Saccharomyces cerevisiae S288C: one gene and its partner. Changing the gene in region 1 together with any one later gene gives a genetic interaction. Each region holds a gene or a part of one and is shown in the gene's direction. Other genes may lie near its edges. The genes, in order: BUD2 and BUD5.

Region 1 (5,844 bases):
ACTCCAGATGGAATTTATGTGCCTTAATTATACGTAAAACATTGTCCGTTCTCTTCAGTTATAATTACTGCTGATTCAGGGGCGGCAGCTGATATATCTCGAGTCACCTTCAAAAATCAAACCTGCTATTGGGACCCGTACTTCCATTTGGATTTACCAACTTGATTCTTCTATCAGAGACGAAGGCCCTTATAAACCTTGAACCTGAGCTTAAAATTTACATATTACTTTCTTGTAATCATTAAGTATGAATTTGCAAGGCGTTTACATGAAAAGAGGTCGGCATAGTACATATGGAAATTTACTGGTATGCAATCCATTATGTGTTATCATATCTTTTTTACATAACAGGCACTTCTGAAATTCCCCCTCTTGTATGCCCCTATTTACTCCTTTTTAAATTCTTCGGATTATTATTTAGATCGTGATTCTCTCTACTCAAACATTTCCTTGAACTTGTATAACGGGGAAATAAATCTGAAAAGCAATACATTTGCGCACTGTTAAAACTGGAAAGGAAGAATGACAACCAGCATACTCGATACTTATCCTCAAATATGCTCCCCCAATGCTTTGCCAGGTACTCCCGGCAATTTGACTAAGGAGCAAGAGGAAGCGCTTTTGCAATTTAGGTCAATCTTGTTAGAAAAGAATTACAAAGAAAGGCTGGATGATTCTACGCTATTGCGATTTCTACGGGCAAGGAAATTTGATATCAATGCTAGCGTTGAGATGTTTGTAGAAACTGAACGATGGAGGGAAGAATACGGTGCCAACACTATTATCGAGGATTATGAAAACAACAAGGAAGCCGAAGACAAAGAAAGAATCAAATTGGCCAAAATGTACCCTCAGTATTACCATCACGTTGATAAGGATGGGAGACCATTGTACTTCGAAGAACTAGGAGGAATTAACTTAAAGAAAATGTACAAGATCACTACCGAAAAACAGATGCTAAGAAACTTAGTCAAGGAGTACGAATTATTTGCCACGTACCGGGTCCCAGCGTGTTCGAGAAGAGCTGGCTACCTTATTGAAACTTCGTGCACTGTGCTGGACTTGAAGGGTATCTCACTTTCTAATGCTTATCATGTGCTTTCCTATATTAAAGATGTTGCAGATATCAGTCAAAATTATTATCCTGAAAGAATGGGTAAGTTTTATATTATACACAGTCCATTTGGTTTCTCGACGATGTTCAAGATGGTTAAACCCTTCTTGGATCCAGTAACCGTGTCAAAAATCTTTATTCTTGGCTCTTCTTATAAAAAGGAATTATTAAAACAAATTCCAATCGAGAACTTGCCTGTTAAATATGGTGGTACATCTGTCTTGCACAACCCTAATGATAAGTTCTACTATTCCGATATTGGTCCCTGGAGAGACCCTAGATACATCGGACCAGAAGGTGAAATTCCCAACATTTTTGGTAAATTTACTGTTACCAGCTAACTATGATACAGGCCTTCGTCGTAGCTTTCCGTGAATATAGCATGCATACTCTATAATATGTATATCTCTGTATCTAATAATAATTAATGACTTTCATTCTTGAACGCGTTCTGTTCGATAAAAAAGAAAGGTATCCAAACAAACGCCATTTATGAAAACGGAGGAAGAAACAACAAAATAGTAGGAATAACTACTCGGTCAGACTGAAAACTTTATCCGTGCATACGTCGTGGTGTTTATCTTTGATTGTATCATATTATGAGCTCCAACAATGAACCGGCCCAAAGTCGAACATCATATTTCAAATTGAATGAATTTTTGTCCAACGTTAAGCATTACAAGAATACCTTTAAGGGTGAGATTCAGTGGTGTAATAACCTGTCCTTAAACGACTGGAAGACACACTATCTGCAAATTACCAGTACAGGTGCACTAACCCACTCAATCGATGAGTTAACAGCAGACTCTACTAATATTCAGCCAATTATCAAACATCTACAGCAATGTAGAATCGAGATTATTAAGGATAAGCATTCCTCTTTTAAGGATATTAATGCAAATTGTAATTTTATAATCCAAGTAAACACCTCAGGTAAAGATAATAAAGTTTACCTGCGAGTTAAAAGTTGGAGTGATTTCAAGAAATTGCTAACATGTCTGATCTGGTGGAGCTCAATGAAGACAAATGGTATATTTAATAAGTTTCAAGTATCGCGACCTCTAGAATTTAAAAGCAAAAAAATGGCGAAACCAGAAAGTTTGCTGGTTTACAAATTGAATGTTTTTGGGCCCATCGTTAAGAACATCGTCCTTCCGCCAGCAACAAATATTTTAGAAAGCCCTGATATAATTAATAATGATGACAACAGCGTAGGTTGGTTTTCCGCTATGGGGGTGCTTAAATCAAACGGCATGCTAGATCTTCTTTTACAGAGTGACGGCTCTCTGATTTACTCATTGAATATTAGCCAGCTTTTAAGATCAGAGATAAGAATTCTGGATTCATCTGTTTTACAAAGTGAAAACAGTTTGTTTTTAGGTGAATTGCCATTACTAAGGAGCCAGTTGGGCCTCGAAAAGTTTCGCATAGAAAATATTGCCAGTGCTGCCACCAACTCTAGTGATATTTCTCAAGAAATTATTGTAGAGTTTCCCTTAAGAATAGACCTGGAGGATTGTTTTATAGCGTTACAATCGTTCGCTAGGTCGGAATACTTATCTATTACTGGCTCAGATAAATCAAATGATATGAAGATATCGAATAGCTTTAAAATTTCCATACTGGAAGCTAATTTTCAGTCAATCAATTTAAATGACAAGAATAATACGCCATGGTCAATATTCACAGACATAACGGCCTGGGGCCATACATGGGCTAGAACATCCATGGTTTCAAACTCCTCTAATCCATTTTGGAGAGAAGAGTTTCAGTTCAATGAACTTTTAAGACTTACTAATTCTTATCTGGAAATCAAGCAGTTATTCCACGATCTCAATAATAAAAAACGGTTACGATTGATAGGCAAAATAAAAATCACACAAGAAATAATAAATGATACAAGATATAATAAGGAAACAAGACTACCCATCATGGACGTTGATAACAAAAATTTTCAAATAGGAACAATCTGTATTAAAATTTCTTCAAATTTGAACTTCATTTTACCGTCAACCAATTTCGTTAAATTGGAAAAACTTTTGATGAACGCAAACTTGTCCATGGTTTCCAATCTAATTTACAAATCTTCTTCATCAATGGAGAATGATAACAAATTGACGCAAACATCCATAATTTTTCTCGATATATTCCAATCTTTGTCAAGAATAGAAGAATGGTTCCACGTCCTTATAGACAAAGAATTGGCTAAAATTGATGGAACGGTTTCAAGAATAAACCAGAAAAATTTAGACTCAAAGCATGTTTTCAACAGTTTATTCCGTGGTAACTCTATCTTAACAAAGTCGATTGAACAGTACTTTTTCAGAGTGGGTAATGAATATTTGAGTAAAGCGCTTAGTGCAATACTAAAAGAGATCATTGAGTCAAACAAATCATGTGAATTGGATCCTGCTAGAGTAAAAGAAAAAGATGAAGTAAAAAAGAGGAAAATAATTGCCGACAACTACAAACGATTGTATTCTTGGGTTACGAAGATTTGGAAAAGGCTGTATGCAACGAGTAATGACCTGCCGATTGAAATAAGAAATGTTTTAAAAATCTTTAGGCAAAAACTAGAGATAATTTGTATCGATGACACTTTGCAAATAATTTTGAATGGTATATCAGGATTATTGTTTTTAAGGTTTTTTTGTCCAGTCATATTAAACCCTAAGCTATTCAAATATGTTTCTCAAAATTTAAACGAAACAGCAAGAAGGAATCTTACCCTAATAAGTAAAGTTTTACTTAATCTGTCCACTTTGACGCAGTTTGCAAACAAAGAGCCCTGGCTAATGAAGATGAATAACTTTATCGATAAAAGACACAATGACTTATTAGATTACATTGATAAAATGACGCAAAAGAAACTAGATTTTAATTCAAAGATATTGAACCTAAGTTCTACTATTTCGAGACCCAAATTGGCCATTGAACAAACGATGTTGGATGATTTGCCTCAGATTCCTTATCTGCTTGATAAGAATTTGAGAGAAACTGAGTTTGTTAACTTGATTGTTAATTTCAGTCAGGAAGATATGACCAAGATGGAAAAATACAATCACATGGATAATGGTGGGAAGGGAGAATTAATCGAAGAGGAGGGCCTGTTAAGCGGTAGCAGCCTAAATTTGTCTGTGGATAAAAAAGATTTGGATTCACCAATTGAGGTTAAGCCAGAAATTGGAGAGTTAGAATTTGAGAAAATAACTGAAAACAACACGGAGATCTTCGGAGATGATTTAATGAACCTACTGAAAAGCGATGATGTAGGTTCCAGAAGCAGAGATTTGGATAATGGCGCTAATTCAGGCATCAAATTTAATTCTATAATCCCGAAAGCAGAAGAGGAAAAGCATGCAATGAAAGAATTGGAGCAAGAGTCATGTTTACTCTATAATAGGATTAATCATATTAGAAAACGGTTGTCAGGTTATGAATGTGCTTCCAGCACTTTGTTTGAAGACAAAAAATACTCCATTTCACTCTCACATAAAATTTTTTATGAAGAAATAAAGGAGGGAAAAGAAATTGTTCTTAAACTACTAAATAAACCAACAAATGAAAACTCTTCCGCAAGATTGCAGAAATTCTTCACAAAAGGTGTCTCTAGTAAATCCAATAACACAGTTGGAGATAGTTACTGTAAATTTTTGACTATTGATGTAAGTGATGAGAATCCCAAGAGTAGCAACAAAACATCGGTACATGGAACATCATCGGAAAATGGAGCCAAGGATGATTACTTGACGCTTCCAAACTCGCAAGGTAAAGGTAACTTGGGGAATAGATTTTCCCCGACAAAGTTATCTAGGATAATGAGGAAACCTCCTAACGCAGATGTTCCTAAAGAACAAAATTCCCGTAAGCTGACAAGATGGTTCAAAAAGAAAAAAGAAACAGGGGGATCTTAATCGTAGAAAAAAATGTTCACTTCATATTCTTTCCTTTGAAAGTTTTTTTTTTTTTACTTCTTTATTCACTACTTGTAACAGTATATAGCGGGTTGTACTATCAGCAGAAAAAAGTAATTCATAATTTTTCAGAAAGATTTCTCATAATATAGTATATAAAAAAATGCTTCGAGAGGAGATGATAGACAGCGATAAGTATATGGAAATTTGGAAACCAAACAGGAGATACAAATGGGTATATATTATATTTAATAAAAACGAACAGATGGCGATCCAGAATGTGGAAATAAATAACAAAGTTGAACATCATACGGTTATTCCAAGGTGGCGAGAATGTTAGCCTGCAAAGGAACTTGCTAGTGACATCTCAATGAAAGATTTTTTCCTCCCAGCACCAAAGTTTGGTTTCGAAGACTGTTGCTGTTGTACTGGCTGCCTTGGTTGGTGGAATTGATTTGTATTTGTACCTAAAGGGAAATTTAGTGATGAGGAAGTGTTCGAATGTGATAATGATGAGGAGGTGTCCCCTGTATCGTTCGGACAACACGATGATATTTCACGGGGCCGATTATTTGAAAACCTTTCAATACTTTCTTCTGGGTCAGCAGTCAAAGTATCCAACCCAGGTGAAACGTACTTTTCCAAGCCATACAAATGTGTTGGTATGGCAATGGCAGAAGACCTTGATCTTGACCTGGGTAGAGAAAACGACCTTGAGTTGCAATGTTGAAGTGAGTTACTAGAGAATTCTGAATTGGGTGTTTCACTTTTCAGTAATACGTTGTTTTTCTTTTTAGTACACGCACCGCTAAAGAG
Region 2 (4,705 bases), on another chromosome or scaffold:
AGTATCCTAAAAGTACATATTAAAAAGGAAGTAACCTCTACTGTGGAGGCACCCAAGAAGGCGAATAAGATAAAGATAAGTTTGAAAGGTGATAAACCTGTTAGAAAAGTGGAAAAACAAATTGTGAAGCCGAAGGTAACTAGCAAACAAAGGAAAGTCAAAAGTCATGTGAACCGCATGGGCAGTTTACCTTTACGGTTTGTTAAGATCCAACAACAACCTAGAGTAATGGTGCATTTGTCATCCGTCCCGTATAGCCAATTCGTTCAAATTACAAAAGTCACATCAAGATCGTTTATGGTTAAGATAAGAACAAAGAATGATGCTAAGAATTGATTGTTTGCTTGAGTCTGAGTAATATCATATTTTATACAAATACATAGACATAAACAAAAGAGGCAAGTAGATAAGGGTATAGCCATATGAGTGTATAAACAAACATTGGGAACAAGAGCAAGACGATGGGGAGTTTCAAATAGGATAGCTATACTGACAACATTCAGTACTCGAAAGATAAACAACCTCCGCCACGACCACACTCTATAAGGCCAAATGTACAAACACATCTTCCCAATATCCGTCACCACGTACTTCAGCATAATTATTCGTCAACCACTCTACAAAACCAAAACCAGGGTTTATAAAATTATACTGTTGCGCGAAGTAGTCCCATATTCCGTGCTGCATTTTGTCCGCGTGCCATTCTTCAGCGAGCAGAGAAGACAAGACATTTTGTTTTACACCGGAGCCAAACTGTGAGTAATATGCTCTAAAAGCCATAAATGAGTTTAAATATTTCTTTGAAGATTTTATAGATGTCTTATTGAACTGTCGAAACTGAGTATTTTGACTTCCAGACGCTATCCTGTGAATTTGGATTTTATTTAAAAATCGAGAGGAAGGAACAGGAATCTGGATATCTTTCTTGAGTGGTCGAATAATATTGAAGCAGCTTGGCCTCACATGCTCAGCTAGACGTTTTTCTTTCAGCTTTTTTGAAACCGCTGTGTTTCTGTATGATTTGGATGCTTTGTTCTTAATTTTGAAAGCAGGCTTCGAAGTAAACATATTGTGAATGTCGTCTATTAAGTTATTATATATGGTTGATACATTTCATAAAAAGTGAAGGTTAAAAGAAGTAGTTAAGAGTTTAAGTTGTTTCATATGATGTACTTTTCTACATTGGGAAGCAATAAATTGCATCCCAAACAAAACCCAGACATCATTAATGTTTTGAAACATAAAATGTTGGAACTTAAAAATATATATAAAGGAGAGATTGAAATCAGCTTAGAAGTGGGCAAGAAAAAAAGGAAGATAAGCAAGAAAAAATGAATAAAATACCCATTAAAGACCTTTTAAATCCACAAATCACAGATGAGTTTAAATCCAGCATACTAGACATAAATAAAAAGCTCTTTTCTATTTGCTGTAATTTACCTAAGTTACCAGAGAGTGTAACAACAGAAGAAGAAGTTGAATTAAGGGATATATTAGGATTCTTATCTAGGGCCAACAAAAACCGTAAGATTAGTGATGAGGAGAAGAAGTTGTTGCAAACAACATCTCAACTCACTACTACCATTACTGTATTACTCAAAGAAATGCGCAGCATAGAAAACGATAGAAGTAATTATCAACTTACACAGAAAAATAAATCGGCGGATGGGTTGGTATTTAATGTGGTAACTCAAGATATGATAAACAAAAGTACTAAACCTTACAGAGGACACCGGTTTACAAAAGAAAATGTCCGAATACTAGAAAGTTGGTTTGCAAAGAACATCGAGAACCCATATCTAGATACCAAGGGCCTAGAGAATCTAATGAAGAATACCAGTTTATCTCGCATTCAAATCAAAAACTGGGTTTCGAATAGAAGAAGAAAAGAAAAAACAATAACAATCGCTCCAGAATTAGCGGACCTCTTGAGCGGTGAGCCTCTGGCAAAGAAGAAAGAATGAGCCCGAAAAACAAATATGTATATATCTGTGTAGAATATATATATATATATTTCGCAAAAATACATAAACAATCAACCCTCTCCTCAGACACTACTAAGATGTTTGTACTGATAGATAATGTCCTCGCCTACCTTCTTGAACAAGACGACCTATTTGTAACCGCACGCTTCGCTATCCAGGGCCAAATCGTCTCAAGAAGAGTTAACAAAATACATATCTCCAACATCACAGACGTCCTTCTACAACAATTCATAAGTCACACACTGCCCTATAATGACAATATCGTCCCAAAAAAAATCCTCGACAGCATGAGAACGGCCGTACGGCAGTTGCTGGAAGCAACTGCCTGTGTCTCTAGAGAATGCCCCCTCGTCAAAAGAAGTCAGGACATAAAAAGAGCAAGAAAACGTCTACTCAGTGACTGGTATAGGCTCGGCGCTGATGCAAACATGGATGCCGTATTACTAGTTGTTAACTCCGCCTGGAGGTTTCTGGCCGTCTGGCGACCCTTCGTAAACTCAATCCAACATGCAACTCAGGAATTGTATCAAAATATCGCCCATTACCTTCTTCATGGCAACGTAAATATACAGAGGGTCACAGCACTAATACAGCTCGTAATGGGACAGGACGATTTACTTTTTAGTATGGATGATGTTCTACAAGAGGTCTTCAGAATACAGCTCTATTTGAATAAGATGCTGCCGCACAACTCTCACAAATGGCAAAAGCCATCCCCCTTTGACTCCGCAAACTTACTACTTAACTTCAGAGACTGGACAACTGACAATGCTCTCCTCCAAGAGTTGCTACTATCCTATCCCACAATTAATAAAAACAAACACAAAAATCACTCCGTCCCTCGTCTAATACAAATCTGGGTAGAGTCTTATTGGCAAGATAGTGAGACAACATTAAAAGATATCCTCAATTTTTGGTACAGTCACTTGGCTGAATATTATGAATACCAAGAACTGTTTGCAGACATAGTTCAGCTGTTTATAAACAAAAAAAGAACGAGGCAATTGAAGATTCATTACATTGGTCTAACTGATAAGGAAATCGAAGAAAATAAACCGCCCCTGGACTACGAAAACTTATTTCTCCAATACGAGATAGACAAAACGAACGCAAATGATGAATTGTGCGGTGCAACTGACCTCAGTGATTTACTTTTCCAATGGAAACAGGGTGAACTTCTAGAAGTCGAAGCCTTCGCTCTAAACGTATCTCCATGGTCACTTGCAAAGACATTGACTCTCTTAGAATCTTCTCTTTACTTGGATATTGAAACAATAGAATTCACAAGACATTTCAAACACAACGATACAACAATTGACTCCGTGTTTACGCTTTCCAACCAGTTATCGTCCTACGTTCTTGAGACAACTTTGCAGCAAACGCACACCATTTCCTACTGGTTACAAGTTGCACTGTCTTGTCTATACTTACGAAACTTAAACTCACTTGCTTCAATCATTACATCATTGCAAAATCATTCAATAGAAAGACTATCTCTCCCGATAGATGTTAAATCAGACCACCTTTTTCAGCGCCTAAAAGTCGTCGTACATCCAAACAACAACTACAACGTTTATAGAAGAACAATTAAACATATTTTCCACAGTCAGCTTCCTTGTGTACCTTTTACATCACTGCTTATCAGGGACATTACCTTCATAAGAGACGGAAACGATACATTCACTAAAGATGGTAATAACGTGAATATGCAAAAGTTCAACCAAATCACAAAGATAGTCGCTTTTGCGCAATATTTACAACAAAAGCAATATGAAGATATACACTGTTCAAATACTACTGCAAGAAGCTTATTAGGGGCTATGATAAAGGTGCACACTTTATATAACGACAACAAAGACAGGGCGTATCAAGTCAGTATAGCTAAGGTTCCAAGGCTTACCTAAAAACAGAACTGTTCAAAGAAAGATGACTTCCTTTTGCTTCTTGTACGCTCACAAATAATTAATATTCATGTTTAGTACTGAAAATTAAGAATACTTGCATAACTACAGTAGATAATATTTTTTGATAAGAAACCAGACGTAAATTAGATGTAATCTTTTACAGATATTACAGTCAACTTAATCAATTACCTAAAAAGGTTTAAGATTGTGCATAGGAAACGTTTCAATTACCGTATCTTTAGGCTACCGCCTCTTTCTTATTTTCCCTTACCCTTTTTTCAATCTAATTAATTGATGATTTCGCACGTGGGAAAAGTAATCCGATGCATTGAAAAATTATTACCAGAAAACAGTGTTTCACACCAAAAAAGCAGTCAGCTCTCAGATAAAGGTGCAGCAAAACTACGGTAAAGGCGGCTATTATTGTGCCTCGAAATGAGATTCTCACACTTTCTCAAATACAACGCTGTCCCTGAATGGCAGAATCATTACCTAGATTATAACGAATTGAAAAATTTGATCTACACATTACAGACAGATGAATTGAAACAAGAAACGCCAACCGGTGACTTAAACGATGACGCTGACTCTCAGACTCCAGGTCCAATCGCTGATATAGAAAGCAACATAGCTGCAGGAGAACCATCTTCATCGAAAAGAAGATTTACACATAAACTCAAGCGTAAGCTCTTTGGTTCTAAAACACCTTCAGGAAGCAAAAGGGGAGACTCCGACGAAAAGGCCATAGATGGGAACAATATTAACGAGGAAACAATTGAGTTAGACGAGTTATCTCCTCAAGGGAAAACCACCTCT

What was found.
Region 2: of BUD2 (region 1) and BUD5, changing one suppresses a phenotype caused by changing the other (phenotypic suppression), as found in Saccharomyces cerevisiae (one study listed by BioGRID).

What each region holds. Positions count from the first base shown.
Region 1 is NC_001143.9:265,329-271,172, reverse strand, and holds BUD2 (GTPase-activating protein BUD2), read left to right. Parts: upstream 1-1,713; coding exon 1,714-5,028; downstream 5,029-5,844. Other genes in the region: YKL091C (phosphatidylinositol/phosphatidylcholine-binding protein), read left to right, coding at 523-1,455; MBR1 (Mbr1p), read right to left, coding at 5,365-5,844. UniProt on the Saccharomyces cerevisiae protein: Stimulates the GTPase activity of BUD1/RSR1. Participates in the regulation of bud-site selection.
Region 2 is NC_001135.5:196,805-201,509, reverse strand, and holds BUD5 (Ras family guanine nucleotide exchange factor BUD5), read left to right. Parts: upstream 1-1,960; coding exon 1,961-3,889; downstream 3,890-4,705. Other genes in the region: transcription initiation factor TFIID subunit TAF2, read left to right, coding at 1-336; YCR041W (uncharacterized protein), read right to left, coding at 267-599; MATALPHA1 (transcriptional co-activator mating type protein alpha), read right to left, coding at 541-1,068; MATALPHA2 (homeodomain mating type protein alpha2), read left to right, coding at 1,332-1,964; PHO87 (SPX domain-containing inorganic phosphate transporter), read left to right, coding at 4,325-4,705. UniProt on the Saccharomyces cerevisiae protein: GDP-GTP exchange factor (GEF) for the small GTPase BUD1/RSR1. Regulates the activity of BUD1 together with BUD2 which is a GTPase-activating protein (GAP) of BUD1. Required to produce both the axial and bipolar patterns of bud site selection.